Canis lupus familiaris: one gene and its partner. The protein of the gene in region 2 interacts with the protein of the main gene of each other region in a pairwise test. Links are inferred from orthologs where the notes say so. Each region holds a gene or a part of one and is shown on either strand. Other genes may lie near its edges. The genes, in order: GEMIN4 and SPRY1.

Region 1 (4,585 bases), on a different chromosome or scaffold from region 2:
TCCTGCCACCGAGTGTCAGTGTCTGAAGGGGTGACAGGGTAGGGCTGAAGAACCTTGGCCCAGATGATGATCAGAGCTTTCTTCTTCCAGGCAAAGGGCTGGGAGCATGTTGTGGCGGAGGAGATCTCCCTTAGGGCCTCCACAATGGGCTGCCCAACATGTTCCCAGTCAGACTTTGTCAGTTCTGTCAGTGCTTTGGGGTGGAAGAGCTGCTCGGCAAGCAAAAAGCCCCCATGCAGAATAGTCATTTCTTCACAGATATTCAAAGGTCCTGCACAGAAAGAAGCCGCACAAGACAGTGTGGTGAAAAATCTTTAAAATAGTTAGTAGAGGCTAGACAGAGACATCAGTTGGTAGGCTGGCTGTCATCACCAGGGTTAGAGATGATAAGGGTTCTAATGGGGAAGAAGAGATGGCTCTAGCCACTGTAGAGCTGGAATCAAAAGGACTTACCTAAGGAATATAAAGGACTCTCAAAGTCTAGCCTGGATTTAGAAGACAATGGCTATCACTGGAGGAAGAGAATCAGAACAGCTTTGGGGGGAACACTGTTCAGTTTTGGTTATTTGGAGTTTGAGGTAGAACATTAAGAGAGAGATGTCCTCCAGCAATGGAAATGTGGGGTTGATGCTCAAGAGGAGAGTCAACCCTGAGATGTGACTCAGGGAGGGGTCTGCCTAGAGGGGATCAATGGAACGAACAAAGTGAATGAGATTCTGCAGGAAAACCATGTGTAAAGGAAAGGGCTAGGCGCTCCAGTAACGGATGGGCCAGCAGAGGAGGTGGAGAGGAGGGGTGACAGAGGGTGCGTACTGTGCAACATGGCAGTCAAGCTTCTGAATCATGATTCAGCCTAAGAAGGGAGGGGCCAGGGCTGAGGCCGCAGAAGCAATCAAACAAGCCCTGCCTTCCCCCTTTTGTCTTACAGTCTTCTTACAAATTTCAAATGTTCTGCCTTTCAGGGAAACAGTTTACCCCACAGCTCTTTCTGTCAAATAGAACAAGCTACCAAATGCTCTGGTTCTCTCATAGAAACCAAGAGGTAGACATAAAATATACTTAGTAGATTAGGAAAGAAAAGTCTCTTCTCCAGTAAGCCCTGAATCAACACTTATCAAGGAAGGCATCTGGGGAGGTTTAATTAGACACAGCTTTAAATCCTAGTTCAGCCATCTAGAAGCTAGAGCTTCTCTGAGCTTCCCTTCTGCATCTGTGGGGAGAACACAGACTTCATACTAGACTGGGAGGATCAAGTGCGATATACTAGTCACACCCTGAGTACTGAGCTAGTTGTTCAGTGTTAGCCCCCAATTCCTCGTTCCCTCATGCCCCCAAGTACATATCTTTCCCAGGAGCCAGCAAGAGAGAATCTTGATTTAGGAGACTAAAAATGATCCTGCCCTTCAACTTTAAGAGAGCAGCAAAAGGCCAAAGGATCAGCACTCCTATGCAACCAACTGGTGAAGGCAATCCACCTTGGCTCCTAGTGGCCTAGGCAGACTCCCAGGAAGATTAGATTGCTGACAGGTCTCACTGGGGATTCTGGCTTTTTTTTTTTTTTTCTTTCTTTTTTTTAGTTCAGGCTGCTCTCCTAGGCCCCCAAAATATGTTCTCTTATGACTCTGTAAATTTAATTTTGTTGCACAATCAGCTCAGCTGAGATGTTTGTCCCCCAAAACCTATTATTCCAGAGACAGTATGTTCATTGTGCTACCAGAAGGAGTAAGTCCCAGGAGCTATTGGTGAATAGCTGGGCAAATCCCAAGTGTTTTTATCACAACTGGATAACAGGCTTGTAGGTGCCCACTCCAAAACTTTATTAAGCGCTTACTCCGTGCCAGGCACTGTGCAAGAGCTCTTTTAATCCTCAACCTTTTGAGAACCATTCTGTTTCAGAGATGGGACCACTGAGATTCAGAAAAATTTGCTCAGGATGTCCCAACTATAGTGTAGTTGGGGCCTGGGACGGAAATCACCACAGCTCCAGGGCTCCAAGCTCTTGAGCTCTACTGTTGCACCACTGAAGCCGTGGCTGGGGGCAGGACTACAACATTTCTCCACAGCCTGTTACTGGCACACCTTGGGGTGCCTCACCTCAGCTCTCTGAGAACAGCCTCCTGCATGACCGGCAGGGTGGGAGGCTGGACAGGAGTCACCATATACTAGCTCCCCGCTCCCTTCTCCCAGGCTCTGCCTGTGAGGATTCTGAATCAAACGTGCCCCCTCGGCTCCTCGGCCCTCCCCACAACTGCCGGTCGGCTGAACTAGCTGCGCGCATGGCACCCTACCCGACCCTGTATACACGTGCTCTCAATCAAACGCCCCCAACTGTGTGTGGTGGGTATGCTATCGTCACCCCCGTTTTATCGATGAGGACCTCATGGCAGAGGACGCTTGCCCAAGAGCTCAGCAGCGGTTAACTAAGCGAAACCGTCGGTGTATCCTTCTGAGCCTGCATTTTCCAAAGCACGTGCACGAGCACTGTCCACTCTGAGGAAATCTAACCTCACATCCGCTTGGCCCTTCACGTGGAAAGGCGCCCCGCGGGGGGCAAGCCGCGGGTGGAGGGGCGGCGGCGCCGCGGCAGCGCCGGGCCTCCCGATCCCGGCCGCGGAGGACACCCCCGCCCTCCCGAGCCCTCCCCGACCCGGAGGTCTCCCTTAGCCCGGGCCCGCTCTGCACCGCCCTGGCCGCCTGGTGCGGGACGCAGACCACGAGGGCGGAGGACCGAGAGCGGCGACACCCACCTAGGTCCATGGCGGCGACGCTGCGGGTCGCGCGGGCCGCCCCTCCCCCCGAGGCTCCGAGTGAGACGCAGGCGCCACGACACAATGGGCGGCTCCGGGAGGGCGGGACAATGGGCCGCGCCTCAGCCCCCGCCCACCATCTCGGCTCAGGCTCCGCGCCGCCGTCCGCAGGCCTCCCGCCGCGCCGCGCGCACGCGCAGAGCCCACCAACAGGTCCGCGGCGCCCAAGCAGCCCGGCCCACAGCGCCCCCTACCAGCCGAGGCCTCCGCCAAGCCAGCCGGCAAGTGGACCCGCGCTTCCCTTCGGCCGGGCGCGCCCCGCCCCGCCCCCAAGCCGCGGTCCCCACCTTCCCCTTGGCCCGCGCCGCTGCCCTGCTTCTGCCCCGCCCAGCGCAGCCCTGGGGGATCATCCCCACGGGATCACCCCACTAGCTCCGCCTCGGCTCCGCGTTCGCTTCCATCCAGTAACCCTCGGGATCCCGCGCTTAAGGTTCACCGCACTGAACGCCCGCCCCAGGCCGCCCACTAACTAGCACAGACTGGCGGTTCTGAAAGGCCTCCTCCCGGCACAGCGCAGCGCCCCCCCAGCACACTTCCTTCTCACGGGAGGACAGCATCCTTAATTTTCTGGCATTAAAGGCACCTTTGAAATGTTACTGGTTGCCCTCCCCAGAAAATGCACTTTGCTATCCAGAGCAATAGTGGCGGAGATCCATTCCAGTGGGCCTTAGTTTCCAATCTGTACTTTATAAAAACACATTTGACTCCTGAGAAAACACATACACAAACATCCTATGTTCTTCTCACACATTACCCTGTCTTCTTTGCTCCCATTCCCTTCCTCCCAGACCTAATCACTAGCCTCCAGTGTTTCTAATTCTCCATCCTCCAGCTTCCAGTGCCAGCCATCACCCAGAAAGGACACAAGGGCTGGGCCTCAGCACCCCCAATGTGCCAAGTGGAGTTTGAGATGGCCTGTGCTGCTATCAAGCAGTTGAAGGGACCTGTGAGTGATCAGGAGAAGCTACTGGTGTACAGCTTCTACAAACAGGCCACCCAAGGCGACTGCAACATCCCTGCCCCACCTGCTACAGATGTGAAAGCCAAGGCCAAGTGGGAGGCATGGAACCAGAATAAAGGGATGTCCAAGATGGATGCCATGAGGATCTATGTTGCCAAGGTGGAAGAACTGAAGAAAAAAGATACTGGTTAAGGAGGACAGAATATCAAACACAATGAAGTAGCATGGCTCCTCTGGTAGCGAAAAGGGTTTCTTAAAAGACCAACGGCTGAAACGTCCTGAAACCATAACCACCATAGCCGAGACACATCAATAAATCACTTAAACTGCAAGAGAGTGTTAATGGAAAGCTGATTAAACTCCAAGTGACAGAGTTCTGGGGAGGTGTTCAAAATATATAAAAAAGCAGTTCTCCAGGGAAATTCCATCACAACCGGTTTTATGATCCTAAGAGTTCCCAGCTTTCCTATTCCAAGAGTATATGCAGATACTTGGCAGGAGTAGAAGGGCTGGGGGGAAGATCATGCTATGAAAACGCCCAAGTTTTGAGGTCAACAGATCGTTCCCCAGAGGCTTGGCCTTTGGGGAAAGGGGAAAGAAGAGGCTGAGGCCCCTTATCTTCAGGGATTGTCTATTCACTACTAACCCAACATTACTGAGGGGAAAGGGGCTTTGTCTTTCAAAAAGCTAAAGTCAAGTCCTACCAAAAGCCCCTACTAGAACATAGTTCTGATGAAGTTAATATTTTGAGGGAAGTCAAACTTTTAGTGAAATAACTGATGCATGACAACACAGCAGAGAAACACTGGAGCGTATG
Region 2 (4,370 bases):
CCCGACCCTCGTCCTCGCAGCCGAGACCCCCGCCCCCGCCCCGGGTCCCACTGTACCTTCTCCGAGCTAGAGCAGGACCGCCCTGCCGACCGGCCGGGTCTAGCGCCGCAATCCGGGGCTGCGAGCACAGCCCGAGCCTCGGCACACGCAGACCTCATCCCTCCTTGCAAAGCGCTCGCAGCCGGGCGCTCGCGGGGCGGAGCATCCCGAGGCACGCGGGCAGATCCCACACGCCCAGGAGCACGGAGCCTACGGGGAGCGGGGCGAGGGCGCCGGGCGCATCCTGGACGCTGCGCTTCACGCGATCGTGGTACCCGAGTCCGTGGAGGCCCCCGGCCAGGGAGACCGCGCGGCGCGTCGGGTGTGAGGCGGGGCGGCCCGTGCCCCGCGGCGCCGGCGCCCGGTGCGTCCCCGGCAACCTGCGCCGCCCGCGGGGACGGGCCTCGGCGGCCGCTACCTTCGCGGCTGCGCCCTCCCGGGAGCCCCGGGCGCTTCCAGCCCGCCCCGGCGCGCGCGCCGCCCAAGGCCTCCTCCGGAGCGTGGCGGGCCCCCGGGGCTGCGCGGGCGCCGAGCTCGCCCGTGGAGGAGCGGGCAGGCTCCCCTGTGCTGCGGCGCCGCCAGCTGCCGCGGCGGAGCTGCGCCCTCTGCACCCGAGCGCAGGGGAGCGGCGAATAAATAGTTGACGGAGAGGAAGGAAAAGGAAAAAGTTATGAATGAAAACAAGTTCTCGCTCGCTCCCTCTCTCCGGGCAGGGCAGGAGGAGGGGAGGAGGCTGAGGTTACCATTACCTCAGGAGGGCGGACTTCCCGTTTTTAAAGCGGCAGCGCCCTCCCCTCCCCTCCCCTCCCCTCCCCTCGCCCCGCCAAACGCGGAGGAAGGCGCGGCGGGCTCGGGCGCAGCCTGGTTCTGTGCAGGGGTCAGCGCGGACGGCGGGGGGGCTCCGGGGCTCCCCGCCTGCCCCCGCCCCCCCCGCCGCGTCCGCGCCCACAGCCCGCCCGGGAGCCCGCCGCCGGCGCGAGGCAGCTCCTCGGAGGCAACACCCCCCGAGGCGCCCCGAGTCCCGCTTGGGCGCGGAGGCGTCCCTTCAAGGGGACGGGCCGCGAGCCCCGGGGCCCGCACCTGCCGCGCGGCGCCCGCGCCCGCCCCCGCCCCCGCCCCCCGCCGGCGCCCGGAGGCCGCGGGACACTCACCTCGGCCGGAGCGGCGCGACCCGCATCAGGCGCGGCGGGGAGGACGCGAGGCCGGGCCAACCCCCCTCCCGGCTGCGGGGGACACTCCTGCGGACCCCCCTCCCGCCGCGCGGCGCGGGCGCATCCACCTCGGGCTTCTCCCGCAGCCCCTTCCCGCGAGCCGGGGGGGGAGAGAAAGAACAGGAAGGGGAAAAAAGGTCCCCTGCGAGAGGGCTCTCGAGTCTCAGAAAACGGCAGAGACCAGCGCGCGGGCCGGGCCCCCGGGGCACGCGGTGCTCTGCGACAGTCCTCCCTCGGGTCCGAGCGCTCCCCGCGGCCGAGGAAGGAGGCGGCCCCCCGACGACTGAAAAGCCCACGTCACGGGCGTTCGAGACTCCGCGGCGCCGGGGACGGGGCTCGAACCGGCGTCTCCGGGCGCCTCGCGGAACCAAGCAGGCCCCGGCGCGGCCCGGGAGCGCACGCCCGCGAGGCTGGGGCTGCGGCTCCCCCGGGGGCGGGGTGCGGGGGATATTCTGGGTTTTTTTGTTTTGTTTTGTCTTGCTTTTTAGCCCCGCTGTTTTAGGGGTGGCGGTGAAGGGTGCGAGGTTGGGGGGGATTCCTCCCAAGGGAAGAGGCGGGGCGTCGTCTTTCGTGCACCCCCCCCCCCCCCCCGCGCAGGTCGAGGCACTTTCCCGATCCCGCGCGCTGGGCAAGTGGGGGGCACAGCGGCCCCCGGGACTCTGGTCCTGGCGGGTCCGCCTCTCCCGGGCAGCGCGCGCTCCCAGTCCTCCGACCCTCCGGTTCCACGGCCGGAACGCCTGCTCCCGAGGATCGGCGATTGGAAAACAAAACACAACAGCACATTAATTTCCCTTTCTTTGCAGGCAGCGGGACGCGCCGCGCGGGCGGCGGGGAGCGGGGAGCGGGGAGCGGGGAGCGGGGTGGGCTGCCCGCCAGCTCGCCCGCCCGCCCGCCCGCCGCCCGCCGCCCGCCGCCCGCCGCCCGCAGCCCCGCTGCCATGTGCTGGCTGTTGCTGCTCGCAGTGATTGACAGGCCGGCGCACAGTCGGCGTGTCAGCAGCGAACCAAAGTAACATGCAGTCTTGCACGTTTTGCCGAAGTGCTTTTGCCCCTTGGAATGCCAGGAGTTCAAACAACGTTCAAGCAACGCCTCTGCGCATTGGAAATCAATACACAGGGGACGGGAAATTCAGGTTTTAAACAATCGCTCCGCTCGGGATTCGGTCGCCAACAATGCCTAAACCAACATGTACTGGTCCACACACCGAGTGCCAGCCCCTCTTCGGCAAAAACCACCCTGTTTTTCACACAACCGACCGTTTCAGACTTCAGACTTGTTCGGATAAGGAAAAAAAAAAGAAAAAGAAAAGAAAAGAAAAGGATCCTACTTTTTCCTCTTAGCGGTAGCGTTTACTTTTTTAAAGAGCATTCGTTTTAGCACTGGGAATGCTACTGGTAATTTGAAATGCAACCAGTAATCTTAGATCTAAAGCGAGTTCAAAGAAATGTTCAGTTCCTTGCAAAAGCCAGCATTTCTCACCTAAGCTTTCCTAAAATACCTACGGAATGAAAGGAAGGAAACAGTTCTTACCTAACGCAAAGATTGGAAATTGCTTTTCAGGCACATTTACAGCGACTGTAGCTGTTCCTTATCCAGGGTAAGGAGCTCTGTCTGTTGCTATCACTCTGCAAACCACTGCGTGCCTTACAGAGCAATCCCACTCCAGCTCCGCAGAATTTCAGCTCGCCTCCACCTCCACCTCCACTCCAGGACACGCCTCCAGTGATATCATATGTCAATCATTCGGGCTGCCTGAAAACCTGGAACAGGATTTCTCCAACTGTCGTTTCCTCTCTCGTGCATCTGTACCAACTTGGAAATGTTGCCCTGTACACTCGTGGGTGATAAACATCCTCTAAAAATTGGAGATGGCCTCTAAAGACCCTACAAGTGCAGTTTGTCACAGAAGAACCCTTTAAATTTCGTCATCAGTCTCAGTCAAAGGATTGGCGGACACTGTCTTTAAGGTTGAATTAGAAAATAGTTTTGAGGAATAAAAGAAGATAAAAAAAAAGTCGTATGCCAAGCCAACACTTCTGATCAGCTAGAGAGAAAATGTATATTGATATTAAGAAGATGATAATGTAACGTTACAGTTACTATTTAAAGCCAAATTCAGAATGTGTGAAATGTGAAAGTTCAAAAGGCGACACTCCTTACTGCAAATGTATATAACGTTACCTCATAAAGGTGAAATTTCCTGCTGTAGATTTTATAGTAAGTGCTCTACCTTGTCTTGTGATATAATTTCCTAAAAATCGAATTTAAAAATCCCAACTTCCTTCAATTTTGTAATTGATTTCCATAATTTTGGAAAAAAAAAAAAAAACCTGCAACCAACTCATTTATTTTTAAAAATCAGCCAACTGGAAATCAATTAAAATAGAAATAATTTACCAAGAAGTTTTATAATTCTTAATGATATGTGTTGTGTTACTGGGGGGAAAAAGTATTTTAATCAGTAGGAAACTCACCTTTTGTTTTCTTACAAATTATGGGATTTTAGACATTTATTATAAAAATTGTGTACTTTATGCTGCAGTGAGGAGAACTATATGTGAAAGTTAAGGCTCCACAGAGCCTTTTAAAAAATACCTAAAAAGCAAAAATATATATAGTAAGTAGAGAAGTATTTTTTCCAGGTACTAGATATAAGTAGCTTAGTCTTTGACAAAATAAGGCAAACAAAACAAAACTCCAGAATCTAAACCATGTATAAATTTAGGTATGGGAATTTTCAATGCTTAAGCTCCTTCTTTACTATAACAAATGATTCTGTTGAAACTAGTGTTTTCTAGACTTTCAATGTTTGAGCACTTTAAAACATTAAAGTTGTATTTGGATTAACCTCTTTTGGAAGCTAGGGCATTGCTAAGACCATCAACAAGAAGAAAGCATCCCTAGAAAATAACATAAAACAAGAATGAAGCAAAAAAAAAAAAAAAAAAAAAAAAAAAAAGAATGAGGCCAAAAGGCTACATATTCACTCTTACTATAAACCCAAAAAATAGGGTAAAAGGATAAAATCAATTTTGTAGATATTTTCTTTTTTCTTAGATCTCATATTTTGGGATGCAATGAAGTTTAACCAATGATGCATAGGTTTCTTGGCCATTATGA

What was found.
Region 1: the proteins of SPRY1 (region 2) and GEMIN4 interact in binary tests that used the Homo sapiens proteins (3 or more experiments, as listed by UniProt). The link is inferred for Canis lupus familiaris from reciprocal best matches to the Homo sapiens genes SPRY1 and GEMIN4.

What each region holds. Positions count from the first base shown.
Region 1 is NC_049230.1:45,007,793-45,012,377, reverse strand, and holds the start of GEMIN4 (gem-associated protein 4), read right to left. Parts: upstream 2,858-4,585; 5' UTR 2,758-2,857; coding exon 2,748-2,757; intron 2,488-2,747; exon of another isoform or gene 2,378-2,487; intron 2,208-2,377; exon of another isoform or gene 2,095-2,207; intron 272-2,094; coding exon 1-271. Other genes in the region: diazepam-binding inhibitor-like 5, read left to right, coding at 2,858-3,028, 3,640-3,960. UniProt on the Homo sapiens protein: The SMN complex catalyzes the assembly of small nuclear ribonucleoproteins (snRNPs), the building blocks of the spliceosome, and thereby plays an important role in the splicing of cellular pre-mRNAs.
Region 2 is NC_049240.1:17,792,713-17,797,082, forward strand, and holds the start of SPRY1 (protein sprouty homolog 1), read right to left. Parts: upstream 2,948-4,370; 5' UTR 2,781-2,947; intron 327-2,780; exon of another isoform or gene 57-326; intron 1-56. UniProt on the Homo sapiens protein: Inhibits fibroblast growth factor (FGF)-induced retinal lens fiber differentiation, probably by inhibiting FGF-mediated phosphorylation of ERK1/2. Inhibits TGFB-induced epithelial-to-mesenchymal transition in lens epithelial cells.